Linked DNA regions of Tribolium castaneum. The protein of the gene in region 1 interacts with the protein of each later gene in a biochemical or structural test. Links are inferred from orthologs where the notes say so. Each region holds a gene or a part of one and is shown in the gene's direction. Other genes may lie near its edges.

Evidence for each region.
Region 2: the proteins of Keap1 (region 1) and Mcm3 form a complex in vitro, tested with the Homo sapiens proteins (2 studies listed by BioGRID, with this or other methods). The link is inferred for Tribolium castaneum from reciprocal best matches to the Homo sapiens genes KEAP1 and MCM3.

The regions. Positions count from the first base shown.
Region 1 is NC_087395.1:20,692,900-20,696,559, forward strand, and holds part of Keap1 (kelch-like ECH-associated protein 1B), read left to right. Parts: intron 1-1,511; coding exon 1,512-1,638; intron 1,639-1,687; coding exon 1,688-1,966; intron 1,967-3,660. UniProt on the Homo sapiens protein: Substrate-specific adapter of a BCR (BTB-CUL3-RBX1) E3 ubiquitin ligase complex that regulates the response to oxidative stress by targeting NFE2L2/NRF2 for ubiquitination.
Region 2 is NC_087400.1:2,693,388-2,697,147, reverse strand, and holds the start of Mcm3 (DNA replication licensing factor Mcm3), read left to right. Parts: upstream 1-1,279; 5' UTR 1,280-1,408; coding exon 1,409-1,480; intron 1,481-1,534; coding exon 1,535-1,856; intron 1,857-1,902; coding exon 1,903-2,033; intron 2,034-2,083; coding exon 2,084-2,322; intron 2,323-2,590; coding exon 2,591-2,884; intron 2,885-2,937; coding exon 2,938-3,244; intron 3,245-3,298; coding exon 3,299-3,447; intron 3,448-3,706; coding exon 3,707-3,760. UniProt on the Homo sapiens protein: Acts as a component of the MCM2-7 complex (MCM complex) which is the replicative helicase essential for 'once per cell cycle' DNA replication initiation and elongation in eukaryotic cells.

The DNA.
Region 1 (3,660 bases):
GTTTTTACTTATCTTATCTCTTGTATTGGCTATTTTTAAGGAAAGGTTTAGAGGGTTGTTGAAAAATAAGTGTTAAGGTTCTCTATGTCAGAACGATTAGTAAGAGGTGTATTTGGATTTGTAATAGGTACATTTTTAGTGATAATGATAATGTATCTGGAAATTTGAATAAAACGTATAAACCGATACAGCGTGATTCAAAAAAATCTTAGATCATCTTTTGCGCAGTGATAAAAGAGATACAAGTAAGTTAAAAGTTTTCTGCCAAAAAATTGTTTGATCTTTTTTTCATGTGATACCTATAGCTGTTCAAAGGTTCGATGTTTGTGTTAATTTTTTAGATTTTGTTTTCTTGAATTTAGTTAGCGGAAATAGTAGATCTTGCAACATTACACAGATAACTGTTGAAAAAAAAAATACGAATTTATGTCTTATGGTGTTCAAGACATTTAACAAACTAGGAAAATCGACAATAAATTGAATCCGACAACATTGGAAACAAAATGGCATCAATTAAGGCGGTTTGTAAGGAAAAAAATATTAGTTAACTGGAAAAAAGAAAAAACGTCTTCTGACACTATTTGGAAGCTCGTTTGACACTTTTAAATCACCTATATTGTGTGAAATAGTTACAGGCAAAAATAACTAAAATAGAAAAACAAAAATTAAAGCTAATTAACAAGCGCATCAGCTCTGCTAAAAGCATCATTTTCTATTATTAAAATAGTGCATTCTTAACACAAGAGGATCATAAAGTCTAATGTTCACATTTAAAAAATGATGTCATTTGAACTTTGCCTACACCACGTAGTATAAACTCGTCAGTCACATGAATAAATCCAAATTTAAGCAAAATCGTTATCTATTTTTTGAAGGGGTTTATTGACACGTGAATCATTGCTTTTGGATTTTCAAAGCAGCAGACTCGTGTCAAGCTTATCACGCGAGATTGCGAATGGTTAATATTTGTTTAATAGCTATTAGAAAAGTCGAACAACGATTTTGCAGAGTATTTAAACAGCCTGTTTTTGATAATGCTAATATTTAATGTTCCGTTAAGTGTGCAAAGATCCTGATAAAGAATGACTTGTAAACATTTCGAGATTAAATTGTTCGAACAGTATTAGAATGAAAATGCTTTTCTAATTAACTACTGTGCGTAGATTTTGGCACAATCGACGCTGAATAAATTTAACAAGAAATTACCATTTTGCATTATTAATGCTGATTTTTTCAAAAACGTGTCATTCATTCATGTCTTATTTGCATATTACTAACATTTCTAACAGTGACTCGGTTATATTCTTGTGTCACCGTTTGAATTGACTACCACGAGATCCATTCAAAAATTGCACGCTAATAAATAATGTATTTAAAACACTTGACTTGAAACGAGGATGATAAGATAGGCAAATCGGCTAATGACATCAAATTTAAAAGATCAATTACGAAAAGTTTGGGAACCAGGGGGTCCTCTTATCAGTCGCTAAAAATACGCATTTCCATTGCAGTTGTAGAATGGATGGAGACGAAGACAGTTACTGCAGCAAAAGCCATTCTCGCCAGAATGGCGTCCACGTGTCTGACTTGGGCGACATGAGTTTCATGATGTTGGATTACATCAAAGAAGCCATGAAGGTAGATGACTCGATAGCTCCTTATCAGAAATAATTTCGTTACTTTACAGGCCATGGACATGATGAGAGGTCATCAAATGTTGACCGACATAACACTAGAAGTTGGCCACGAAGTATTTTATGCACATCGAGTGGTCCTCGCCGCTGCTAGTCCCTACTTTAAGGCCATGTTTACTGGTGGCTTAAAAGAATGCGAAATGACGAGGATACCCCTTCAAGGCGTTTCCGCGACCGCGATGGCTAGACTAATACATTTCATGTACACCGGTAGGATAAGAGTGACGGAAAACACCGTGTGCCAATTATTACCTGCCGCGACAATGCTACAAGTGAGTATTCTCGTTATCACGCGGGTTTCGCGGAAAGGAGATAGCAGGGGGCAAAGTCCAGAGATCCTCTATTAAAACAGTTGGGACATTGGATGGCAGTTTTTGATTTTTTCATATTGTATCTACGTTTGTTTGCTTTTGCTTATACACAAAAGAAAAAATTTTCGCTAGAAAACAAAATGAATTCAATTTTACAGAAAATTTGTTTTCTTTGTTGTTGACTATAATAATAATTTTATTAATTTCTGTGGTATGCAATAAATACTACATATGAATAAGTAATAAAAGTTACAAGTTACCTAATTTTATTATTTTATTTAATTATATTTTTTTGTAGATTTTTTCTTTATTTAGGAGAATTTTACATATAAATTACGAAAAACTAAATCGAAAAGACGTAACGGAAACAAAATCACCTAATCTTCAAAACTTTTGTGGGCCGAAGCGTTTGACCGTCTTGGCACGCGGTGTGTTCTCGGTAAAATGCAAAATCTCCAAGTCTAATAAAGTATAAGAAATTTAATGCAAGTAATTTTGAAAATAATATCATATACAGGGTGTTTCAAGTTTTAGTTCCAGTGAAAAAATAAATACTTTTTGTTGCTCAAAGGAAATAAAATATATTTCCAACGATGGAGTTTCTAACACGCTTCAAATTGATGCTTTAATGTTATTCCAAATTTTTATAATATGGGTGAGAAATGCAAAAAACTACATTATGTTTTGTTTGTTTTTAAATTATGGCAATCGTTTTTTCTATAATAAAATTCCTCCTATTTTTTAAGTGAGACAGTGACAGTACAAATTTTTGTGAGTCAAGCAAAGACACGAGCTCTGTTTTCTCAAAGGTGACAAGATAAAACATTTATTTGGTCTAAATCAAATCAAATAAATCATTTGCCCCAAACGTCTTGCGTTTTTTACTATTTCAATTCCGGAATCGTTACTTAAAAAATAGGAGGAATTTTATTATAAAAAAAGATTGCAATAATTTGAAAACAAAAATTTTTTATTATAGTTTTTTGCATTTCACGCTCATACTATGAAAATTTGTTATAACGTTAAAGCAACAAATTGAAGCGTGTTAAATACTCTACCGTTTGCGATATTTTTCTTTTGGACAACTAGAAGTATTTATTTTTTTACTGGCACTAAAACTTGAAACATAGTGCTCAGAGACTGGCGCACCAACTCAGTAGTAGGTACGTTGTACGTTGTTGAGAAGCATGCGTAATTGTTCCCTAACAAAACGATGCATAATTATTTTTAAATTTAATATCAGACTTAGCAGTTTTTTGAATTTAGAAAAAATACAATTTAGCAAAAAAACACAGTGTGTAGATGTGCCAACACTGGGAATTATTTCCTAGGAAACCGTTTCAAAAATAATTTATCTTTATTGTTGATCAAGTTCTATTGCGTTGCGATTACGACCACGATCACGACTGTTAAACACCGTTGCCACATACCATTTATTTAATTCGTTATTTATCAATAACTTTAATACAAAGAATTTTTTAAATATTTTTATCTTTATATGTAAGCAGTTCTCTACCACCGAAAGCCTCACCACTGAGTTGGTGCGCCGGTTTTTGAGCACCCGGTATAGTTTATTTTTTAAATAATCAACTGTCAGTGTCAAAATTCTGATAAAGAGAAGACTGTATCACCCTAAAAGTGCATGTCCAACCACT
Region 2 (3,760 bases), on another chromosome or scaffold:
TTTTATAGCAAAGATTCGGTAATAAACAATATAACAACAATTGTGGTAAAGACATGTTTTCATTATAATTTAATCGATGATAATAATGTAATAATGATAATGTAATGTATATATATATATATATATTTTTTTTTGGAATGCAACTAACTTTGAGAGAAATTGTGTTGTTGATAGAATGAGTAGGTAAGTTTATTAATGGTCAAGCTTATTTGCCTGTAAAGTATGCTATTATAAAGTAACTGCGAAAGGCAATTAGTTAACTTTAACAAACTAGTTGAGTTTAATGAATAATTGGTATTCTGAATATAGGTATGCCTTTCTTCCGATAAATGAGATTATTCACTTACTTCCAAGTATAAAAAAAATACCTATTGTGCGATTTGGACCTAAGAATAGTGTTGTATCCACGATTTCGTGATACTTCAGAAAGGGGAAATATTAATATACTCGGTGTAAAATTCAACAGATTTATTCTCTACAAACTTCCAACAACTTACAACGTTACAACAATTTACTTTTAGCTCTACATCGCGTCTCCTTCCCTCATTTTTGTGACGGTCCTTTTTAAGAAGGAAAAACTACCTGCTCCCAGAAGGGGGGCGTCACGAGCGGTTAAGGATTGAGGGTTGCACATTTAACAGGAAAGTGAAAGTTGTACATTACAACAATAGAAACAACTTACAGTACGAGTCAGCGTTAAGCAGCCATTTTCTCTGCGATATTTAAAAACCTTTACAAAAACACAAATTCAGATAAGCAATTTTGCCTACCGTACAACACGTGTTACAACTTCCTAGTGATAACAGTATAATAAATATAATTATTCTAGTTATTATGTAATTACTGCCATGTTTTGGACGCGAAAACAATTACAATATAAAAACCACGTGGTCGTGGGTCAGGATTCAGTTATTTGATTTACTTTAATTTTAGACACAATCGTTGAAAATAAACATAATGTCAGACGAATTACATTTTACTTATAACATTTAATAAATATCAAGACAATCAAGACTTACCTGTTAATCGATGCACAACACGCTCACGACGCTCACACGCTGCTACAAGGTGTCAACAGCTAGACACTGTTCCCACATGACAGTTGACCAGACAATTGCTGAGAATAAGGGAATAAAAAATGTAGAAATTAAATGCAGTTAAGTTTTAATTTGTAATAGAAACACATTAAAACGGTCAGGAGATGTTCTGCAAATGTGATATGCAAGTCACTGTAACAGCTTATTGATGTTTTTATTATGATTTGTCTGGTCGATTGTAATGTTCATGGTGCCAGCTATCTGGCCACCCAGGCCCGACTTGGCAACACCGCTGTGGCTCTTTTCCCGCCAAAACTCCTCCCGTGTTTTCGCCCGTTATTACCCGCATTTCCAGTGTTAAGTGCCCCATTATGGACCCCCAGGAGCTAGACCAGCGCCTCCGCGACATGCAGCACGAGTACTTGGACTTCCTCGATGACGAGGTACGAATTGGTGGTGTTGCCTTCCCCCCGTGTTTTAACCCCAAATTCCCGTAGGAGGACCAAGGCAAGTACGCCACACTTGTTAAAAACATGGTTGCGGACCACAGTTTGCGGCTTGTGGTGAATGTCAATGATTTGCGCCGCAAAAACCCGGCCAGGGCTGCCGCCCTCCTCACTAACGCTTTTGAGGAGCATTCGGCGTTTCAGAAAGCCCTCAAAGAGTATGTTTACACAGTCGCGCACGACTATGCCAAGGAAAACGACGAGTTTTTCATCGCCTTTGAGGGGAGCTTCGGCAATAAGCATGTTACTCCAAGGAGTTTGACTTCGAGGTTTTTGGGGAATTTGGTCTGTGTTGAGGGGATTGTGACGAAATGTAGGACTTGTTTGCGTCTTTCTTGCGTTACCGGTTGGTTTTTAAGGCTCGTTGGTGCACCCCAAGGTCGTCCGGAGTGTCCACTTTTGTCCAGTAACGAAAAAAGTAATGGAAAGGAAATACACTGATTTGACTTCGTTAGATGCCTTCCCCACATCGTCGGTGTACCCCACTAAAGTCAGTCGTGTCTTTTTTGTATTTTTTATCAATTAATTTGAGTGGTTTAGGACGAGGATGGCAATTTATTGGAGACAGAATTTGGGCTTTCGGTGTATAAAGACCACCAAACTATTTCCATTCAGGAGATGCCTGAAAAGGCCCCCGCGGGGCAGTTGCCCCGTTCGGTTGATATAATCTGCGATAATGACCTTGTTGATAGGTGCAAACCCGGGGACCGCATACAAGTGGTGGGGAACTACCGGTGCCTTCCCAACAAACAGGGGAGCTTCACTAACGGCATTTTCCGGTATTTTTCCCATAATTATTAAGCAAAAACATAAAAAAATAATTGGGGCCAAATTTTAAAAAGCTGGTGATTTTGGTTTTGGAACTAGAATTGACAGGACGCCATAAAACAATCATTACATTACGAAAATGTGTTTTAAACAATAATATAGTCACGTAAACAACACACTTGATCCGACTTGGTGCCCCACTGTCTTTATTTTCATTCAAAAATAGTTAACAATTAGTGTGATTTAGTCATTTTTTTGCCACGGGATTAATGTTTGCAGCACTGTGGTGATTGCAAGTAACGTGTCCCAACTGTCAAAAGAAGCAAATCCTTCCATTTCACGTGAAGACGTCGCCAAATGTAAAAACTTGGCCAAATCGAACAAAAACGTCTTTGAATTATTAGCCAAGTCTTTGGCGCCGTCAATCCACGGCCACGAGTACATCAAGAAGGCGATCCTGTGCCTCCTTTTGGGCGGAGTCGAGAAGATCCTGCCCAATGGGACGCGCCTAAGAGGGGACATAAACGTGTTACTGATTGGCGATCCCAGCGTTGCTAAGTCACAGCTCCTCCGGTAAGTCGACTCGATTTGTGAATCGTTGATTGTGATTGGCAGTTGCCATGGAGATACGTGTTATGCACCGCCCCTCGGGCCATTCCCACCACTGGGCGTGGATCGTCGGGGGTTGGTCTAACCGCAGCGGTTACAACCGATCAGGAGACCGGCGAGAGGCGGTTAGAGGCCGGTGCGATGGTTTTGGCCGATCGTGGCGTCGTGTGCATTGATGAGTTCGACAAGATGTCGGATATGGACAGGACGGCCATTCATGAGGTCATGGAACAGGGGCGTGTCACTATTGCCAAGGCGGGGATTCACGCAAGTTTGAATGCCAGGTGCTCGGTTTTGGCGGCGGCCAATCCGGTTTACGGAAAGGTGGGGTTTGATTGGTCGGTTGCGAAAGCAGCGATTTGATTGGGTGATTTGTAGTATGATCAGTACAAGACGCCAATGGAAAACATCGGGTTGCAAGACTCGCTCCTGTCGCGGTTTGATTTGCTGTTCGTGATGTTGGATTCAGTGGATGAGGATCATGATTTGATGATTTCGGATCACGTGGTCAGGATGCACCGATATAGGTATTTTTTTTTAGTAGGCTTGTGCGGACTACGGAGGACTGTGTGTTAGGAGGCGGAACGAGATACAAAATCGTACCCAAAAAATATAGTTAATTAATTTAAATCTGCAAATTGAACTTCCACCTCCAAGGGGGTTAATAATATAAATAATAAATAATATGACTTTAAAATGACAGATACAGTTAATTAAAAATAAATAAGTAAAAAAAAATTAATAAAAAATTATAAATACTAATTTTGAACTTGATAAAAATATTAGAAATCCGGGTGAGCAAGATGGCGAAGTCCTGCCAATGGGCTCAAGCGTGGACAT